Linked DNA regions of Elephas maximus indicus. The protein of the gene in region 1 interacts with the protein of each later gene in a biochemical or structural test. Links are inferred from orthologs where the notes say so. Each region holds a gene or a part of one and is shown in the gene's direction. Other genes may lie near its edges. The genes, in order: ITGB2 and ICAM1.

Region 1 (10,891 bases):
GAGGCAGAACTGGGAGTTTCTGACTCAAAAGGGGCTGGCCAGCAATTAACTGGAGGGGTGGTGAAAGGTTCTGCCAAAACGGTAGCTGCTGCTGCAGTAGGCACAAGGGCCAGTGGAGCCGGGGCTAGATCAGGAACCAGGCCTGCACCTCCAGGTGGATGAGGAGGAGGGGGCACAGGTAGAGATAAGAGACTGAAGGGGTGCAGATTACTGTCTGAGTCTGGAAGGACTGGGGACATCCTATCTCCCATTCCCTTTCTCCCAGCTGCCTGCATCATTAGTTTGCACTGTTTTTGTAGGTTCTTATTCTGTCAGAGAGGCTTAAAGGTTTGCATGTAGGGAATTTCATCCCATTTTCTCCCTCTTTTGCAAAACAGACCTAACTGTAAAATGGCTAAATAGCTAAGTGACCCATACTGAAGCCACTTTTCGCCTGACTCCAACTGGTACTGGGGCCAGGCAGTGTTACAAAGGAAAACAAGGTTCCCCTTCTCCATAAGTTCATAACTAAAGAAGGACCAATTTTTAAGTATGCAACCTAAGGGGGAACATTCAGGGACCCTAGGTTTGTTTCCCATATTTCACACACACACACACACACACACACACACACAATACTCTTTCTCAGAAACAGAACCAGAACCTGAACTTAACCAAAGTCAGCAACCATAAACTAGGCTGCCCATTCTCTGCGATTGGCTAGGGGGAGTGGTGGGGCAAGATAATAAGGATGATCTTAGTAGGGCTTCAGTCCCCCCTAATCAGGACATCTTAGTCCTACTTCAATCCTCCAGATACCTCCCTACCTCAGAACCAGAACCAGGACTGCAGTCAACCAGAAATTAGGGTGCCCATTCTCTGCTGCCGTCTGGAGGAGTGGCGAAGTAACAAGGATGATCTTAGCAGAGTCTCTTTGTCCCCTAACGGGGATATCTTAGGCCTATTTCAATCCTCCACGTGCCTCCGCAACTCCAATTCCAAGCACTTACACTTAACAAGAGAAATTCCTGGGGCTCTTACCTAGTGGACGTCTATACGTGAGTTAGTGTCTAATTCTCAAAGTAAAATCACCTTAGGCTGGTCACCACCTCAGTCCTGGTGAGGAGACCTACCTGATCCTCCTGAACAAGAGGTTCGGTGTACACCAAGGGTCAGTGGAGGTTCCGTTTACAGTTGAGGGAGTGCCGGGCTCCGGACAAAGGGTCTGTGTGACCCTCTGGCCCCACGTTGGGCACCAAAATTGTTACTGAACCCGGGAAGGTGGGTCCTTGTCCAGGGCACTCAGACTTGCCAATTATCTGGACACCGATCTTTGAGAAAGAGAAAGTAACTATTGCAATGCCCAGAGCAAGGAGCCAGGAGGAGGTTCCTCAGATCTGGCTCCCCGAGCTATGGGTAGGCAGGGCTTACATATGATTTTGGCAGCAAGATGGTGGCCACGCAGGTGTTCTGGGGAGGGGAAACTCTAGAAGGCATCTAGGAAACAGGAGGTGACATGCTTCTTGTCAGACCTCTCCTTCGAAATAGGGTCTGGGTGATGATTTTCCTTCTGATTCGGTCCACCTGTTGCTGCATCCTTTGCATTTGTAGGGTCGGGTTACTGTAATCCTAGGTGTTCTTGACTTGCAGCTGCAGCGTTACGTGGCACCCTTCCTCTGTCTCCTTGTCTCTCTGTATTTTCTCCAATTTTATAAGGATAAAAGTCATATAGGATTAGGGCCCATTCTTCTTCAATATGACTGCTTGTTAAATGGTGACATCTTCAAAGACCCTATTTCCAAACAAGGTCACGTTCACAGAGGATTAGAACTTCCACACATCTTTTTGGGGACACAATTCAATCCATAATGATGCCCCCATCTGTATCTGCCAGAATGATCTTTTTCTTGACACGGTGAAAGAAACGCATAAGTACATCCTCTTTCCAAAAGATTCAGATGTGCATAGAGCAAGGTCTCTTAACCACCCTTCTCACCCGCGAGCAACTCTCAGTCTGCTCTGGAGCAGTGACCCATATTGTCATGTGTCTGTATCTTCTCAGACATCTCTCTATCCATTTTGAGAAACATAACCACTATAATGCGTGCTTAACCTTTTCACAGTATGAATGGTACCGTCTTGTGTTTATTGCTCTGCAGCTGACTTTGTTTTGCTTAACAGCATCTTTAAGGACTGCTGCCGGCTCAAACACCTGTCCCCATTTTTTTCCATCTACTCAATAGTGTTCCATAGAATGGCACCATGGTTTATTTAGCCATCTGCCTGTTGATAGACATATATTTTACATGAGCTTTTAAATGACTATTTAGACAAAGGATGCCACAATAAAGATCCACAAACACTTAATTTCTCCTCATGGTAGATAGCAGGAAATGGGTCGGCTGAGAATAGATTGATAGCTGCTGTCAGCTCAGACTCATGATGACCTTATGTACAACAGAACAAAAACATTTCCTGGTCCTGCATCATTCTCACAATCACTGGCATGTTCAAGTCCATCGTTGCTGCTCTCGTGCCAATCCGTCTTACCGAGGGGCTCCCTCACCCTTGCTGGCCCTATGCTTCAACAAACGTGATATCCTCCTGTAGCAATTGATCCTCCTGATGACATGTCCAAAGCAAGCAAGTCAGACAATATTCCATTGTGATCCATAACATTAAAAAAATATATATATATTTTTATTAGCATTGGCTAATTTTTGAGTGTAGATTGCCAGGCCTTTCTTCTTAGTCTGCCTTGGTCTGGAAGCTCTGCTGAAACCTATCCACCATAGGTGACCATGCTGGTATTTGAAATACCAGTGGCATAGCTTCCAGCATCACAGCAACATGCCAGCTCCCATAGTACAACAACCTGCTAGACACTGACAGTCATGAAACCAATTGCCCTCCACATATGATAGTTGGAAAATGGTAACTCGTAGTTTTGCTTTTTGTTTTTGTTTTTAATGTATAAAATATATGTCATGGATTGAATTGTGTCCCCTCAAAAATATGTGTCAACTTGGTTAGGCCATGTGTGGTTGTCCTCCATTTTGTGATTTTCCTATGTATTATAAATCATAATCTCTGTTTGTGGTTAAAGAGGTTTAGGGTGGGATGTAACACCCTTGTTCAGGCCACATTCCTGATCCAATGTAAAATAATTTTCCCTGGGGTGTAGCCTGCAACACCTTTTATCTCTCAAGAGATAAAAGGAAAGGGAAGCAAGCAGAGAGTTGGGGACCTCACACCACCAAGAAAGCAGCACCAGGAACACAGCGAGTCCTTTGCGCCTGGGGTCTCTGCGCCTGAGAAGCTCCTCAACCATGCGAAGGTTGAGGACAAAGACCTTCTTCCAGAGATGACAGAAAGAAAGCCTTCTCCTAGAGCCAACGCCCTGAATTTGAACTTGTAACCTACTAGACTATAAGAAAATAAATTTCTCTTTGATAAAGCCATCCACTTGCAGTATTTCTGTTATGGCACCACTAGATGACTAAGAATATGCATAACAAAATTTACCATTTTAATCATTTTTAAGTGTATGATTCAGTGGCATTAAGTACATTTACCATGTTGTGTAATTATCACTAATATTTTCAAAACTTTTGCATCACCCCAAACAGAAGCACTGTGCCCATTAAACAACACCTCACGCTTCTCGTTGTAGTTTGATGTAACCCCCATGTCTGTGAAGCCTCTCTCTGTGTTTTGCTGGACTCTGTATTCCCTCACAGCTTCTTTCACTTAGCAGGATGCATTACAGATTCATTCATATGGTTGTCTTTCTAATATATGAATTTAATACTATAAATTTCCCTCTAGGCACTGCTTTGGCTTCATTCCACTAAATTTAATATGCTGTATTTTCATTTTGTTCAAAGTATTTTCTATTTTCACTTGAGGCTTCCACTAGAAATGTGTTCTTTAGTTAGAGATGTCACCAATATCTTTCTGGTTTAACTCAATTATGAACAGAGAACATATTTTTGTATGATTCACATTCTTTTAAACTTGTTAAGGTTTATTTTATGATCCAGTGTACTAGTTTTCTAGGCCTGCCATACCAAAGTATCACAAAGTGGGTAACTTTAACAACAGAGATTTATTGTCTCTCAGTTCAAGAATCTAGAAGTTCAAAATCAAGATGTCTGCAGGGCCATATTTCCTCTGAAGGCTCTAGGGAAGAATCTTTCCTTGCCTCTTCCAGCTTCTGGTGGTTCCTGGCAATCCTTAGCTTGTAGATTCATCATTCCTATCTCTGCCTCCATCTTCATATGCTCATCTTTCCTCTGTGTGTCTCTGTCTGTGTCTCTTCTCTTCCTCTTATAAGGACACCAATAATATCAACTAGGGCTCACCCTACTCCAGTGCAATCTAATCTTAACTGATTGTATCTGTAAAGACCCTGTTTCACAAGTATAGAGGATAAGACTTGAACATATCTTTTTTTGTGACATGATTCAATCCATAACACCCAAGATACTGTCTATCTTGGGGAATGTGTCCTGTGCATTTAAAAATAGTGTATATTCTGCTGCTGTTGCTGGGTGGAGTGTTCCATAATTTTTTTTTTTTTTTTTTAGGTCTTATTGTTTGATGCTGTTGCTTAGGTCTGCTATACGCTTTGCTGATTTTCTGCTTTTTTTTCTTTTTTTATTGATTACTCCAGCCATATCTGTGGGCTTGCCTATTTCTTCTTTTAGATCTTTCAGCTTTGTCTTCATGTATTTTGAAACTCTGTGTTTAGATGTATGCAAATTTAGGATTGTTATACCTTCTTACTGAGTTAACTCTCTTATCATTTTGTAGTGGAGCCCTGGTGGCACGGTGGTTAAGAGCTACGGCTGCTAACAAAAAGGTTGTCGGTTTGAACCCACCAGCTGCTCCTTACAAACCCTATGGAGCAGTTCTACTCTGTTTTATAGGGTTGCTATGAATGGGAATCAACTCAATGGTCATGGATTTGGTTTTGGTTTTATCATACCTGGCAATTTTCCTTGTTGTGAAGTCTGCTTAGTCTGATATTAATTAAAAAAAAAAAAAAAAAAAAGCCCATTGCTGTCAAGTCGACTTCGACTCGTAGTGACCCTACAGGATAGAGTAGAACTGCCCCATAGGGTTTTCAAGGAGCAGCTGGTCGATTCAAACTGCTGACATTTGGTTAGCAGTCAAGCTCTTAACAACTGCGCCACCAGGGTTCCGATATTAATATAGTCATTCTAATTTTCTTTGAGTTAGTGTTTGTACAGTATATTTTTTTTACCATCCTTGTATTCTTGACCTGCCTATGTTATCACATTTAAAGTGTTTGGGTCCTTTTTTAAAAATCCACTTGGCAATATCTGTCTTGTAATTTGTGTGTTTAGACCATTTACACTTAATGTAATTACTGAAATGCTTGGATTTAGGTCTATTATTTCATTTTTTTGTTTGTTTTCTGTTTTTCCCCTCTGTTTTTTATTCCTCTGTTCCCCCCTCTCCTGCTTTCTTTTGGATTACTTGCATTTTTTTTGTATCACATTTTAATTTATCAATTAGCTTTTTGACTGTATCTCTTTGAATAGTTTTTTTTTTTAGTGGTTGTTCTAGGGATTATAATATACATAGTTAACACTTCGTTGTCTACTTATTTACTATTTTACTACTTGCAGAGAAGCTTTACAATTACATAAATTCCTTTACTGTCCTCCCTTTATGCTGTAGTTGTTATATATCTTACCTCCACACAGAGTGAAAGTTCTACCACCAATGTTATGATTTTTGATTTCAATGTATTTTAAAGAACTTAAAAAAAAATAGTCTATATATATTTATCTAAATATTTACCATTTCTGTTGCCCTTCCTTCATTTCTAAGTTTCCCTCTGGGATAATTTCCCTTCTGCCTAGCATTTCCTTTAGAGCATGTCTGTGGCCACCAATTTTCTTAGTTTTCCTTTATCCAAAAATGTCTATTTCCTCTTTGTTAGCAAGGAATATTTTTGCTGTATGTAAAATTCTGGATTGACAGTTCTTTTCTTTGAACACTCTCCTCCTGCCTATGTGCTCAGTCTGTTGGCCAGATCCCCTGTCCCTGAATGAGAACCCAATGGGGTCATTCCCCTGCATATGGCTCCCTGTGGTTCCCCATCCCCTGCAGAGCATGAACCACCTCCTCTATGGTAGGCTGGTCCCTTAGTAGTTGGGCTCCTGCTGCTGCCATAGACTCCTGTCCCCCAAAATTGCCCCTCACTTCATATTCTTACCTACTTCTTGTTATGCAGGTACACATGAGTTGCAGGTCCCATTCTGTCTTGCATGGTTGCTCCTCTGACTTCCCTCCATTGGGAGCAGGTGCAGAGCAGAGAGGAGATGGAGATTATCACCAATGTGTGGTGCAATCAACCACATGTAGTTCAACTTCCTCTGTGGCACCCGACTTAGAACAGGAAGCATCAGGGGCAGTGTCTTTTCCCCGATGTGACAGTGGACCAGCCTGAGAAGATCACAGCTCAACCTGCCCCAACCAAGCCAGGACACGCAGTGCCAGGGATCTAGGACATGAGTGGGGTGAGTGGATGGACTGTGCCTCTGTTTCTGTGTTTGCTTGTTGTTGTTTTTTTTTTTAAGGGGAAATACTTAGTCCTGCGGCGTTTCCATGAGGAATCAGCTGCTGCCTTTCTCAAGGAAAGTAGTTCCAAGTGACCCCAGCCTTGGAGTGGACCCTGGTGGCCTCAGTCTACATCACTGGCCAGGGAGGATCTTGGGATTGTCCACTCTGGCCCCTCTTACCAAAAGAGAGCTGAGACCCAGAGAGAGGAAATGCTAAGCCCACAGGCAGGGCTACCCAGGGTGCTGGGGACCTCAGTTTACTGAGCAGGAACTGGGGCCCAGCACAGCGGGGAGAACCCAGACAGAAGACAGGCTCTGGTGCCTGGGTCTAAGGTCTTTCAACACACCACAGACACTTCCTGAGCTGCCAAGGGGGTGTGGGAGTAGGGATGTGGGGGCTTCAAGGCCCAGCAGAGCCAGGAGGCTCATGGGAGCAGGAAAGACCCCCAGGCTGGTGTGTGTGTGGCTTCCACTGGGCTGTGCAGGAGTCGTCCCTGGAGTCTCCAGCTGTACTGTTCTGTTCCTGCCTCACAGATCCCCCCACTCTCCTCAGCCCACCACTGCTAGCTGTGATGACTTACGTTTCCAAACCAAAGCTCTGCGTCAAGCTCTAGTACAGATAGGTATCTGAAGATGGCAGTGGGCAGCATGCCTGGGACCCTTCAGCTGTTCCCGGAGCTCTGGGAAAGGGGGTCTTTGTAAGCAAGACTCTTGGCACATAGGAGGGAGGGCATGGAGTCTGTGAAGCAGATGCCCATGGTAGGTGCCCAGGGTGCGTTTGGCTGGCACATTTCCTGAGTTTTCTTCTGAAGGAAACAGCAGTGTTTACATCCTGTGTTTCCAGCCTGCCTGCTTGTCTCTCCTCAGGCAGAGAAGATGGCTGTCGAAAGTGAGACCACTTCTGCTGCAGTGCGTGTGTGTGTTTGTGTGTGTGTGTGTGTGGTGTATATGTGTGGTATGTCAACTGTGTGTGTGTGTGTTGTGTGTTTGTGATGTATATGGTGGTCTGTGTGTGGATGTGAATGCTATGTTTGTAGAATGGTATGTGTGGAATGTATGTGCTGTATGCGTGTGTGGTGTGACTATAATGCCTGTGTGGTCTGTGTGTGGTGTTCGTACCTGTGTTGTATGTATGGCATGTGTGTGACTGGTATGTGGTGTTGTGTGTGTGTAGTATGCACGGTGAATATGTGTGTGTAAGTGTGTGTGGCCTGAATGGTGTGTGTGTGATTGTGAGTGGTATGTTTGCAGTATGGTATGTGTGGAGTATGTGTGTTGTATGTGTGTGTGGTGTATGACTGTAAGGGTTGTGTGTGTGGTCTCTATGTGGTGTTTGTACACGCGTTATGTGTGTGGTACTGTGTGTGTGTAGTATGTGTGGTGGATGGGTGTGTAAGTGTGTGTGTGGCCTGTGGGGTGTGTGTGTATGTACTGTTTGAATTTTGTATATGCGTGGTGTGTGTGTGATTGTGAGTGGTGTGTTTGTAGTATGGTATATGTGGATTACGTATGTTGTATGTGTGTATGTTGTATGCAGGTGTGGCGTGTGACTATAAGTGTTGTGTGTGTGGTCTGTGTGTGGTGTTTGCACACGTGTTGTGTACGCATGTGTGTGAGTGGGGTGTGGTGTTGTGTGTGGCATGTGTGCTGAATATGTGTGTGGTGTTGCATGCATGGGTAGTATGCGTGGTGGATATGTGTGTGTGGTCTGTGTGGTATATGTGGTAAATATGTGTGTATGTTCTGTGTGGTGTTGTGTGTGAGTAGTATGTGTGGTAAACAGTGTGTATGGTCTGTGTGGTGGTGTATGTATGTGTGGTATGCGTGGTAAATGTACGTATATGGTTTATGTGTGTGTGTAGTCTGTGTGGTGAATATGTGTGTGTGGTCTGTGCAGTGTGTGTGTAGTATGTGTGGTGAATATGTATGTATGGGCTGTGTGGTGTTGTGTGTATGTGTGGTATGTGTGATGAATATGTGTGTATGGTCTGTGTGGTGTTGTATGTGCAGTCCGTGTGGTGAATATGTGCGTGGTCTGTGTCGTATGCGTGTGTGTGTAGCCTATGTGGTGAATGTGTGTGCGGTCTGTGTGGTGTGTGTGTATGTAGTCTGTGTGGTGAATATATGTGCGTGGTCTGTGTAGTCTGTGTAGTCTGTGTGGCGAATACATGTGCGTGGTCTGTGCGGGGTGTGTGTGCGTAGTCAGTGTGGTGTGTGTGTGGTCTGTATGGTGTGTGTGTGTGTGTGTGTGTAGTCCGTGTGGTAAATATTTATGTGTGATCTGTGTGGTGTGTGTGTGGTCTGTATGGTGTGCGTGTGTGTGTGGTCTGTGTGGTGAATGTATGTGTGGTCTGTGTAGTCTGTGTGGTGAATATGTGTGCGTGGTCTGTGCGGTGTGTGTGTGTAGTCTGTGCGGTGTGTGTGTGTAGTCTGTGCAGTGTGTGTGGTCTGTATGGTGTGTGTGTGTGTAGCCTGTGTGGTAAATATTTATGTGTGATCTGTGTGGTGTGTGTGTGGTCTGTATGGTGTGCGTGTGTGTAGTCTGTGTGGTGAATATGTGTGGTCTGTATGGTGTGCGTGTGTGTGTAGTCTGTGTGGTAAATATTTACATGTGGTCTGTGTGGTGTGTGTGAGTGACCGTGAGTGGTATAGGGTATGCATGTGCATGCATGCATGTTCTGGGTGAGTTTAGGACCACTGGCCTGATGATTCAAGTAAAAACACTCAAGGAAAATTGAGTTTTAGGGGAACTGATGTTGGGTCTGTGATTTTGGTCCAAATGGTTTCAGGCAAAGTGCTCAGAAATGGACCTGACCTCCCTCCTGGCACAAGGCTCCTGGAGGTAGAGCGTAGGGTGGAAGACACACCCCTGGGGCCCCACCTGGACACTAATTTCTTGGGGGCAGCCCCCATACACACCTACGTTCCCTCTCACCACCCATATCCTGGTGCCAACTCTTTTCCTTGCCCTTCCTCTTTCTCCTCCCCAGACTGGGGGTGGATCCACCACTACTGTCCCCAGCCAGGCTCCCTGCACGCTCTGAGACGCTCGAGCGCAGTGCACCCTGTCCTCTGGCCCCGGAATACCTGGTAGAGAAATGTGGGGCCTTGTGATGGGGGGTGGGAAAAATGGAGATGGGATGCGTCACCAGTATGTCCCTCCTGGATCGTGTCCTGGCGTCTGTCCAAGTGCAAGGAGGCTGTGCGCTGGGGCCTTAATGAGAAAAAACTGCTCAGAAGCTTCTGGGCAGCTCAGTCACCCCAGCAGCTTTATAGAGAAGCGACCTAACGGCTTCATTTTTTAAAGGGGCCCCTCACCACAACCTCACTCCCTGCAACCACGGTTTGGAGGTCCTGGCTGTGTTTCTGGGACGAGAGGCTGAGATCTTTAGCCAAGGTCACCACACAGGACCCCGCTGGCACCACATTCTGAGCAGACATGGTCAGATGCCCACCCCCTCCGGAAGTCCCCTGGGGATGCCAGGCCTCAGGGCTGTGGCCTCCAGCAGGGCAGCACAGTGAGGGGCGAGGGAGGGGAGTCTGCAGCTCAGGACGCGCCACTGCTGTTTCTAGCCTGAAAACAAATCCTGGGGACCAGCACTGGCAGGAGAGATGCACTGCCAACCCAGGGCCTTGCCCAGCACAAGTGAATCGCCATAGATGGAGCCAGGTATTTCCTGAGGGCATAGCTGAGCTGGGCAACCTGATGCCTCTCCCCTGAGCTCTGGTGTCTCCTCTGAAATGTGGGGCAGGAATCCCTGCCCTAAGTTCTCCCAAATTAAATGCTGCAAATGTAGCATGTAACGCAGGACATGTACCAGGTAGGGGCGTCACGCATGCCATGGAAAGAGCTGCTGTGGGGGAAAGGAAAGGGAAACCTGAGGCCCACTGTGGTTGCAGGGAACTCTGCAGAGGAACTGCCCTGCCAACTTCCTGTCTGCACCCTCTGGGTTTGCATAGACCAGCAGGAAGCCAGCCTCCCCAGGACACCGCCTCCCCACCTGTGAAGTGGGAGAGGAGGGCTGGCCAGTTATTTAAACTCCAACTTGAAGCTGTCAACTAATAGGTTCTTGTCAAGCAGACTAGTGAATAGAAGTCAGCCAGACACAGGGTTGGAAGAACAGAAAGGTTTATTCACGGTTTGGAAACTGGGAGATAGGCAGGGTCTCATGACCTAAGGCTGCCAGCTCCCTGAACCGGGGCAGATTTGCTCCTTTTATAGGGAGTGACATACATATGCACAAGCAGTAAGGAGAGGATCTTCAGTCTTGTGATGTGTGTGCAGTCCACTAATTTTAGTGAATGAGTTTTTGCAC
Region 2 (11,354 bases), on another chromosome or scaffold:
TCACCATTAACAGAAACTCAATGTCCCCTAAGCAATGACAACCCCTCCCATCCACCCCCGGTAACTACTAATAAGCTTTGGTCTCTTTGCATTTGCCTTTTTCATGTATATGGAATCATATGGTATTTGTCCTTTCGTGGCTGGCTTATTTTACACAGCATAACCCCTGTTCTTCCTGGGATCACCTCCCAGATAAACAATCTGCAGTCTCAGCCTTGTCTCAGGGTCTGCTTTGGGGGGGAAACGTAAGCTAAAACACAGCCGGTAAGTAAAAAAGCCTAGATTCAAACCCCAACCTGATCAAATCTCGTGTGCCAAACCCCGTTTCATTCCAACCCTGCCTCCCAACCCATCCTTTGGGTGCCTGTTACAGATCGAATTGTGTCCCCCAAAAATGTGCGTCAACTTGGCTAGGCCATGATTCCTAGTATTGTATGGTTGTCCTCCATTTTATGATCTGATGTAATCTTCCTATGTGTTGTAAATCCTTATCTCTGCCTGTGCTTAATGAGGCAACATTAAGTTATGTTAAAGAGGATTAGGGCAGGATGCAACACCCTTACGCAGGTCACAGCCCTGATCCAAAGTAAGGGGAGTTTCCCAGGGGTGTGGCCTGCATCACCTTTTATTTATGAGAGATAAAAGGAGACAGAAGCCAGCAGAGAAAGAGGGACCTCCTACCAGCAAGAAAGAAAAGCGGGGAGTGGAGCGTGTTTTTGAATTCAGGGTCCCTGCGCTGAGAAACCCCTAGACCCAGGGGAAGGTTTGATGACAACTTTCCCACAGAGCCAACAGAGAGAGAAAGTCTTCCCCTGGAGTTGGCACCCTGAATTTGGACTTCTAGCCTCCTAAACTGCAAGAGAATAAATTTCTGTTTTTTTAAAAAGCCATCCACTTGCGGTATTTCTGTTATAGCAGCACTAAAAAAAAAAAAAAAAAGATAACTAAAACAGGGCCTTTGGTAAAAGCAGTGGGAAGGGAATTCCAGGCTGGAGGAACAGCATGTACAGAATGCTCAGAAGCAAGAGAAGTTAATTCATTCAACAAATATGTATCGATCCCGTCTGCAGAGGCCAGCCACTGAGCCGGTGCTGGGGCTGACAGGCTCCCTCCCCTCCTGAGGATCACAGAAATGGAGGCAATAGACAATCAGGTAAATCTAAGGGACTTCAGCAAGTAATGAGTTCATAATGAAAACAAATTAAAAAAAAGTGAAAAGGAATGACCAGGGTACGGCCGAGGATGGGGGAGAATCCAGGAAGGTTCGAGCCACGGAAGGGAGGGGCTGGCCACGTCACAGATGAGAGGAAGATCATTCAAGGCTGAGGGAATTCCAAGGCCATCACACCAGAGTTCAGTGTGGGGAGGACAGGCGTAAGGCCTTAGAGGGCTTCAGATGCTTCTGCTCAGTGTTTTTAGCCTCTGTTCTGCCGTGGGTCATTTTCTTGCCCTGCCCAAGACTGTCTGACACCCTCTAGGAAGCCCAACCCTTCCTGACAGCAGCAGAGTGCTGAGGAAATCAGCTTCCCTCTTCCTCAGGGAAATGTAAATGGGGGTGCACGCTCCCCTTGCCAGCCTGCCCCCCAAGACTACCTCATCCCCATGTCAGGAAATGGCCCTCCCTCCTCCCAGGAGCTCAGACCCGGACCAAGGAGCTGACCTTGAGTCTGCCCCACCCGCCATGTCCCAGCACGTCCAGTTGCCCGTCTCCAAAATGGATGCAGAATCAGACCACTTCTCCACCACCACGGCCCAGTTCAGGCCCCCATCAACACTTGCCTGGACTAGAGCTGTCGCCTCCTCTCTGGTCTCCCCTGGTTTCCTCCCTGTCCCTCCCACCCCCTGATGGTAACTTTTAAAATGGCCAGAGGGTACTTGTGAACACTTGAGCCAGGGCATGTCCCTCGTCTGCTCAGAACCCTCCATGGCACCCACCTTATTCAGAGTAAAAGCCAAAGTCCTCCAGGCCGCACACAATCCACGCCCCTCCCCGCCCCCCCCCCCGCCCCATCACCTCCCAGCTCTTGCCTCCTCCCCTGGCTCTCGCCTCCTCCCCTAGTCCCCATCCTTCACTGCTGTAGCATCACCGGCCTCCTCACTGTCCTTGGCTCCAGCTCACTCTAGGGCCTTGTTCCCGCTGCCTAGTGCATTCTTCCCCCAGAGGATGGCATGGCTCCCTCCTCACCTTTGCTCAAAGGTCACCTTCTCAGTGATTCTTTCCCAGATTACTCTATTTAAAATTTCTTTAAACCTCACATTTCCAATCCCCTCCCCCATCTTATGGAGCCCTGGTGGCCTAGTGGTTAAGAGCTCGGCTGCTAACCAAAAGATCCACGAACTTTATGTTTCTCCTTAGCACCAATCACCAACTAACACTCTCTGTATTTTATTTTTGTTTCTTGTCTATCATCTCCACTTGGATGATCCCTGCATGATGGCAGGGGTTTTCGTCCATTTCATCTACTGCTCTGTCCTCAGCACCTGGAACCACGCCTAGTACACAGTACCTACAAGCAACCCCATTGCCATCTAATTGATTCTGACTCATAGTGACTCGACAGGACAGAACAGAACTGCCCCATAGAGTTTCCAAGGCTGTAATCTTTACGGGTGAACTTCAACCAAGTCTTTTTGGTACAGTAACTCTGTGTATTCCTTCCATCTTCTTTTGATGCTCCCTGCCTTGTTCAGTATTTTGCCCATAGAATCCTTCACTATCGCAACTTGAGGCTTGAATTTTTTCTTCAGTTCTTTCAGCTTGAGAAATGCTGAGCATGTTCTCTCCTTTTGGTTTGCTAACTCCGGATCTTTGCACATGTCATTATAATACTTTACTTTGTCTTCTCGAGCCGCCCTTTGAAATCTTCAGTTCTTTTACTTCATCATTTCTTCCATTCACTTTACAGTTCAAGAGTAACTTTCAGATGCTCTTCCGACACCCGTTTTTGTCTTTTCTTTCTTTCCTGTCTTTCAGGAAGTAGGATATGATCAAGAACTGATGGTACTGAAGGAAGAAGTCCAAGCCGCAGGGAAGGCATTAGGAAAAAACAAGTTTCCAGGAATTAATGAAATACAAGTTCAGATGTTTCAACAAATGGATGCAATACTGGAAGTGCTCACTCATCCATGCCAAGAAATTTGGCCAACCAACTGGAAGAGATTCATGTTTGTGCCCATTCGAAAGAAAGATGATCCAACAGAATGAGGAAATTATCGAACAATTTCAGTAATATCACATGCAAATAAAATTTCACTGAAGATAATTCAAAAACAGTTGCAGCAGTACATTGACAGGGAACTGCCAGAAATTCAAGCCAGATTCAGAAGAGGGCATGGAATGAGGGATATCGTTGCTGATGTCCGATGGATCTTAGCTGAAAGCAAAGAACACCAGAAAGATGTTTACTTGTGTTTTATTGACTATGCAAAGACATTTGACTGTGTGGATCATAAATTATGGATAACATTGTGAGTATTGGGAATTGCAGAACACTTAATTGTGCTCATGAGGAACCTGTACTTAGACCAAGAGGCAGTTGTTTGAACAGAAAAGGGGATACCGTGTGGTTTAAATTTAAGAAAGGTGTGCATCAGGGTTGTACCCTTTCACCATACTTATTCAGTCTGTATGCTGGGCAAATAAACTGAGAAGCTGGGCTATACCAAGAAGAACGAGGCATCAGGATTGGAGGAAGACTTCTTAACAGCCCATGATATGGAGGTAACACAACCTTGCTTACTAAAAGCTAAGAGGACTTGAAATACTGATAAAGATCAAAGACTACAGCCTTCAGTACCGATTACACCTCAATATAAAGAAAATAAAAATCCTCACAACTGGACCAATAAGCAACATCATGATAAAAGGAGAAATTATGGAAGTTCTCAAGGATTTCATTTTACTTGGATCCACAATCAACGGCCATGGAAGCAGCAGTCAAGAAACAGCGTATTGCATTGGGCAAATCTGCTGCACAAGACTTCTTTAAAGTCTTCAAAAGCAAAGATGTCACTTTGAAGGCTAAGCCAGACAATGAAAACGGAAGACTGAAGAAAAATTGATGCGTTTGAATTATGCTGTTGGTAAAGAACATTGACTATACAGCTAGAACAACAAACAAATCTGTCTTGGAACAAGTACAGCCAGAATGCTCCTTAGAAGCCAGGTGTGGTGAGACTTGTTTTTGGACATGTTATCAGGAGGGACCAGGCCCTGAAGAAGAACATCAAGCTTGGTGAAGTAGAAGGTCAGTGAAAGAGAGAAAGACCCTCAATGAGATGGACTGACACAGTGGCTGCAACAGTGGGCTCAAACATAGCAACACTGTGAGGATGGGGCAGTGTTTCTGTTGTCCATAGGATCGCTGAGTCCGGAGGACTCCACGGCACCCAACAACGACTGCCACATCTTTCTCCCGCCGAGCGGCTAGTGAGTTTGATCCGGCGACCATTCGGCTAGCAGCCCAGCGCTTAACCACTGCGCCACCAGGGCTCCTTTAGTACGCGGTAGGCGCTCAATAGACACTGTTGGGAAAGAAAAGGACATTTTTGTGGCTGCAAGTGGGACTTGAGCCTCGAGGGGGCGCTCGCCGCCCGCGCGCTTCGGGCCAGGACGAGCCCCTGGAGAGGAGAGAGGAAAGTCCGCCAAAAAATAACCCCGCGGCGCAGGATTTTCCCAGACCTTCGAAGGCGCGGGGACATCCCAGGTACCCCCTTCCCCTTTGCCCAGGCCGTTACAGGGCGGGGATTCAGCACTCCCAAACCCTCAACCAGAAAGATCCCAGTGGAAATTCCTTAGGAACAACTGGTGCGAAGGAGGGGCGCATTTCTAGACGGCGAATGAGTCTCAGCCCCCTCCCTTCCCCTTCTGCTGCGCGACCTCCCTGGCCTCTCCGATGTCTCCATGGCGACGCCGCGCTTGCCCCACAACAGGAAACCTCAGGCGGCGCTGCTCAGCGCTGGGAGCCTCCCCCCTCCCCAGCCTGGACGCGGTAGACGCCAGGCACTGGGGTCACACGGGCAGGCGTGGCCGAAGGGGTGACTCCCCGCTTCCGAGACTAGGTCCCCGACCCCTATAGACATCACCTCCTTTCCAAAACGTCCTACTGGCGCCAGCCCAGGCAAACACTGGAACATATTTAGTGCAGACGTCGGTGTTTAGCCGTGCGCAGGGGGCGGGGTTTGAGCGCTCCTTACTCCGGACCCACGTGGGGCTAGGGGGCTGCCTCAGATTCCCTGCCTAAGGCAAGGGCTCGAGCGCCCCCTCTCTCCTCCTCTGTGGAGGCCTGAGCTGCTGCCTGAGTTTCCCTGCGGAGCCTGGGGCGGGGATGGAGGGCTCAGTGCGTAAAGCCCACGCGGCTTCCTTCCTTCTTCTGGGAACTGTAAAGATGCCGCCGCGAACGAGCCGAAAGGGGAAGCGAGGCCGTTGGTGTGGGAGTACCAATGGGGGAACGCCGACCCCCCCCTCCGGGCGCGATGGCTTCACGAACCCACCACCCCTGGGATTCTCAGAGCCTCGAGGTGCCTGGGCCTGCTGCGGCCACTTGTCGCGAAATCTCGGTGTCAGCTGGGACGGGAGGCCCAGACATGCCCTTGGGAGGGGCACCCTTGAATGGACAGCGCCTAAGGAAGATTCCTGGACACCTATCCACGTCCCTTCCTGTGCTCATCCGCTCGGTTAAAGCGCGAGCTGGCGAGTTAGACCTGGTTCGAATCCCTTCTAAGCTCAGCGCCTCAGTTTACCCATTTGTAAGACGGAGACAGTAACAGTCCCTACATTCCAGCATGGTTGGAAGTATTTGATAAAGAGCTTAGCGCGGTGTAAACGCCGCATTCAGGTTAGCCCGACTGGGGGAACAGGACCCCTGGAGGCCGGGGCAGCTCCCAGTCCACCATCCCGCCATCCCTCCGCCGCCGCCCTAATCTCTTTAGCTTGGAAGTTCGGGCGCTTGATGGCCAGCAGGGAGGACGACCCAGCTCGGGCTGGGTACCCTCTCAATCCGGAAATTCCTGAGCCCTAGGTCGGGAGGAGAAAGCGCGAGGTTTCCGGGAAGGCAGCACCGCCCCCTGAGCCCCAGCAGCCGGGCACTATAAAGGGCCGGGCGCGCTGCCTCGCTCCTCAGTCCGCGCAGCGCACCCAGCGCCTAGGTGTTGTCCTCTCTGCCTCTCTCGCCCGCTATGGCTCCCTGTGGCGCCTGGCCCTCGCTGGCGGTGCTCCTGTCCCTGTTTGCGGCTCTGCTCCCAGGTGAGTCGGGGTATAGAGTAACCGTCGGACCAGCTCCGGGGATCTGGGCTGCGCCCTGGGCGCGGTGGGAGGACCGGCTCCCGGCCGTTCCTACTCAGATAGCGGGTTTATAGAAGGATGGGGTGCCTGAAAACCATTTCTGGAGGGCTAGAGTCACCGAGAGAAAGTCAACAGTGAGTTCAAATGCGGACCTCCTTCACCTCCGTGTGTGTGACCTTAGGCTGTAGCTGCGCCTCTCTGAAGGCTCAGTTTTCTCACCATCAAATGGGGAAGATTCTAGCGGCCACGTCGCAGGCTTTGTGCCTGACCGAGCAGAGCGCCTGGGTCCAGGAGGCCACCAGATCGAAATGGGGACGTGGCCAGACCCAAGCTGAGTAGGGTCGGGGACCCCCCCTTATCCCCCACACACATTCTGTTCCTCATCCCCTGCCCCGGGGAAGTCCAGGGTTGTTTCTGCACAGGGGAATTCCAGGGCTGACTTGCCCAGGGGCCAGAGCTGAGACACCAAGGAGCTCCTGCGGCCCGTCCCCGCCCCCCCCCATTTCAGCCCCATAGGGAGGGTGGGCGGAAATGCAGTCAGAGGGCCTCAAATGGTGATGGTGCTGGGCAGCAGGAGAGTGGCAGGTTGACGCCTTGGTTACCAGCTTGATTCTGGAGCCTGTCAGGTAAAGGGTTGAATCGGGACTCTAAGGCTTTCTAGCTGAGTAACTTCCTCTCTCTAAGCCTCACTGGTTCTCTCCCTGAAATGGGAATGAACTCAGAATCTCCCTCGGAGGATTTCTGGAGCCACTGCTCTCACAGGCCTCCAGCCCTGATAAGACAGGCCCAAGGCTTTGAGGGAACCACTGGAGCAAGGGCAGGGATGTGGGGGTAGCCTCAGATATTTTTTCAGATATGAAGTGGACAGGGTCTGTGGACAACACCCCTCCTTCTTACCCACAGCCCCTTGCTTCCTGCCCTGTGTAGGAGTTACTTGCATTAGCATGGGGTGGGGTGACAATACTCACCTATCTTACAGATAGGGAAATTGAGGCCCAGAGAGGGGAGATCACTGGCCAAAGGAGTGAGGAGCCAGCCCAATTTGAACTGCCCTTTGTTGGACTTTGTTTCTGTTGTTTACCTCATTCCATCTTGGCCTAGCCCATCTCTTTCCTGGAGGGATGGCCCCTTCCTCCTGACCTCTTGAGAGGGAGGAGGGCACTGACTGCTTGTCCCTTCTCTGCTAAAATTCTCACAAAATCTCCCTCAGAATAAAGAATACATCCTGAGGGCAGCCTGCACTGCCCACGTGATCTTCCGGACCTCATTTCTGCTCAGTCTTCCCCTTTGCTTGCTATGGTGCAGCCACCCTGCCTCAGGGCCTTTGCACTTGAAGTTGCCTTTGCCTGGAATTCACACCGCTTTTCCTTGGATGGAGCCCTGATGGGTCAGTGGTTAAGAGCTACAGCTGCTAACCATAAAGGTGGGTGGTTCGAATCTACCAGGAGCCCCTTGGAAACCCTATGGGGCAGTTCTACTCTGTCCTGTATAGTCGCTATGACTCAGCGGCAGTGGATTTTTTTTTTTCCCTTGGATGGTCAGCTCCTTATTATGCAGATCTCTGCTCACTATGTCACAAAGGCACTGTCTGTTCTATTGCCCTGTTGTGTTTGTATCAAAGCTCTTATAACATCAGAAATTAGCTTGTTTGCTCACAGATTTTTCTCTCTCACACTGAAGGCAAGGAGTTTTGTTCATGGCTGTGTCCCCAGCACCCAGCACATGGTGGGCACACAGTAGGCCCCTTCATGCCTAATGCCAGCCCCCTCCTCAGAGTCAAGCAACCCTTTCGTTCCAGGGTCTGGAGGTGCCCAAGTATCAGTGCATCCCCTAGAAGCCATCGTGCACCAAGGAGGCTCCGTGGTAGTGAATTGCAGTGCCACCTGTAACCAATCCAACTTAGAAGTGGGCCTGGAGACAGTGTTCAACAAGAAGCTAGTTTCTGAGGGGGCCAGCTGGAAGGTCTTTGAACTGAGTGATGTGCAAGAAGACAGTAGCGGGCTATGCTATGCAACCTGTGGCGATACACCTGAGCAGGAAACAGCTACAATTTCCATCACCATGTATGGTAAGTGGCTGGCCCCAGGGGCTGGACTGGGCAGACTGGGGAGGGGGTGGACAAAGGCTGCTTGGTTGCTTGGTGGTGGTGCTGGGGAGGGTATCACTGAAGAGTGAATGCAGAAATCCTTGGAAAGTCCCAGTGTCATTCAGAAGCCCCTCTGAACCTCGAGTGTACGTAGGACATCAGGGATTCGGCACACTTAAGAGAACTGGCTCTCAGTGGCTCACTCTTGAAGCACATACATGGCAAGGCCCTGGGTCTGCTTCTTAAAAAGAAGATGCAAATGAAAACTCCCCCTCAGATGGCATTTTTCACATATTGGGAAACATTGGAAGAGGTGATCGCAGCTGTGCTGGCCAGGCTGTGGGAGAGCAGGCACCCCTGGGACATTGCTAGTGGGAGTAGGAAGAAGCACATCTCCGTGAAGGGAGATTTGGTGTCAGTTCTCAAAATAACACACGCACGTGCCCTTCGACTCAGAAACCCCGCCCTTGAGAATTTGTCCTACAGGTGTCCTAGCCCTCGAGGGGGCTGGTGGGAGGAAGAGATTGTCCACTGCCGCTTTGTTTGGAAGGGGAACAGTTTGCAAACCATGCACATCTAGGGGCCGTGGAAATCATCTGTGGTTTGGCCATGCCGTGGAATAGTATGCAGCCGTATAAAAGAACGGTCGTCATGAGTCGGAATTGACTTGACGGCAATGGGTTTGGTTTTTGGTTGAAGGTATGCCCAGTGTGAGTGGAATGCTGCCCTCTGTTAAGGAGCGAGGGGGTAGGCTGTGTTCATCCATGAAAGAGTCCTGAACAGAAATGTAAGAAATGGAACAATATTAGTTGGCTGTGAGAAAAGAAGACAGGGGGCTGGGAAGAGGGGAGGGGGCGCCCTTTTCTACATTGGGGATTTTGAACTGTGAGAATGAGTTACCAAAGGCAAAATAAATAGATATTATTCAAATTTAAAAAAATAAAAAAGAAGAGAAAGGGAGGGAGGGAACAGACCTTGAAATTAGACAGCCTTGGGTTGTCACTAGCTGGGTGACGATGGGCAAACGGTTTCTCGGTTTCCTTCTCCGCCACATGAGACCTCTTCGAAGGGGTATAACAATGTAGTGAGGCGCAAAGGTGCTCCACAGTCCTGGCGTCTGGGCAGAGGAAGCCTTTAGGCCAATATTGGATTTGCTTCTGACTCAGGGGTGTTTGAGCAGATGCTGGTCACCCTCCCAGCAAGGGAAGTCCCCAGACATTCCTGGTGGCCTCTGAAAACCCTCTTGGTGAGCTAGGAAACCTTCTAGAAGGCCTCAAACAAAGAGTGTGGTGATTGAGATCCCACACTCTGGGTTTGAGTCCTGGCTGTCCCACCTTTCTTCCTCAGTGACTGTGTTCATGACCTTGCCTTAGTTTCCTCCTCTGTGAAGTGGAGCAGATGGCTGGCATGCAGTAGCAAGGGAGTCAAAGGTGAATGGGGCCACCTGGGTGTAAAGATGAGGGCACAACGGTTAAGCACTTGGCTGGCTAACCAAAAAGTTTGCAGTTCTGACCCACCCAGCGGCTCTCCGGGAGAAAGACCTGGTGATAGGCTCGCATAAAGATTCCAGTCGAGGAAACCCTGTGGGGCAGCTCTAGTCTGTCACATGGGGTCCTGCACCTAATAACAACAACAACAAGGCTGTTTAAGGTCAACCTACTTATAACAATAATTAGAAATGATTTAAAAAATCAACAACTAACCATGAGGGAACATTCCTGGAGGGCTGAGGCATCGCCCTAAATGTTAGAGGTGTCATTCCTGGAGGAGGCGACCCCTATCTGAGCCCTTGAAGGATGTGTACGAGTTGGTAAAGACAGGCATTCTGGATAGAGGGAATGGGCTAGCGTGAGGGGGAAAAAAAAGATCTAGAGTAAGGAAACATCCTCATTGGTGGGGAGGGAGAGAATCTGTTGAACCTAAGCAGGGTGGCTGGAGGTTGGCAGGGCCTTGAATGCCAGGGCAAGGAGCTGGGACCTTCTCCTTCCCTGGGCACTGGAGAGCCATGGAGAGTGTGTGAACAGGCCAAGGATATAGAAAACAGAAGTCTGGACTTCTGGGAGGCCAGGGAGAAGTTGGCCGTGAGCCTTGTCCAGGCCATGTGCAGGAAGGGAGGGGCAGACAAATATTTGAAGAATGGAGTCAAATGACTTGGTGAAGGACCAAAGATGGAGACAGGAGAAAAGGGAAAATCAGAATCGGCCCTTCTCCCTTCCCTGGTTCCCAGCCCAGGTCTTCAAGGCAAGGAGCTGGGCTCAGGAAGCTGTTGGATTCCATTTGGGGGCTGAGGTTTGAGCAGGCTGTTAGAGATAAGAACCAGACGTCTGGGAGTTTTCTCAGCCCTTTTTTTTTAAACAGCTCTATTTATATATAATTTACATACCATAACGTTCACCTATTTCAAGTGTACACTTAAATGAATTTTAGTGGTGTACCCCAAGCTGACAAGCAGCACCACAGTCTGATTTTGGAACGTTTCCCATCACCCCAAGAAGAAACCTCCTGCCCATTTATAGTCATTCTCTCAACCTCCTAAGTGGGTTCAGAACAGTCCTACCTCTAATAGGCCCATTTTGCAGCTCAGGAAACAGGCTCAGGCACTGTCAATTGCCTGCAGCCTACATTAAAGAATCAGCAAGGCTGGGACCAAACCCAGGCCCGTCTGGCTCCTGACATTTTAGCAGCAATGTGTTAGCATTTCAGGGCCTCTCAGAAAGGAAATACGGAGTAGGACTCCTTGAGACCCCTCCCTAGGGAACCTGGAGGTCTTAGCTGTGGCTCTGCAGGGTTCTGTTGTGAATTTCCACTGGTAATTCAGGTGTGGAATCCTGGGACCCTGTGTGGCACGGAGACTGGCCTGGAAAAATGGAGCCCACTTGTTGTGGAAGGGGACATGAAGAGTTTCACTTTCAGCATCTGTGGGTTGTTGTTAATATTCAAACGGGTCACATGCACATTTGCCAAATTTTTTTTTCCCTTTAAAGG

Evidence for each region.
Region 2: the proteins of ITGB2 (region 1) and ICAM1 form a complex in vitro, tested with the Homo sapiens proteins (4 studies listed by BioGRID). The link is inferred for Elephas maximus indicus from reciprocal best matches to the Homo sapiens genes ITGB2 and ICAM1.

What each region holds. Positions count from the first base shown.
Region 1 is NC_064820.1:229,366,695-229,377,585, reverse strand, and holds the start of ITGB2 (integrin beta-2), read left to right. Parts: upstream 1-6,415; 5' UTR 6,416-6,524; coding exon 6,525-6,533; intron 6,534-10,891.
Region 2 is NC_064821.1:28,383,405-28,394,758, forward strand, and holds the start of ICAM1 (intercellular adhesion molecule 1), read left to right. Parts: upstream 1-6,118; 5' UTR 6,119-6,177; coding exon 6,178-6,244; intron 6,245-7,588; exon of another isoform or gene 7,589-7,666; coding exon of another isoform or gene 7,667-7,706; intron 7,707-8,081; coding exon 8,082-8,351; intron 8,352-11,354. UniProt on the Homo sapiens protein: ICAM proteins are ligands for the leukocyte adhesion protein LFA-1 (integrin alpha-L/beta-2).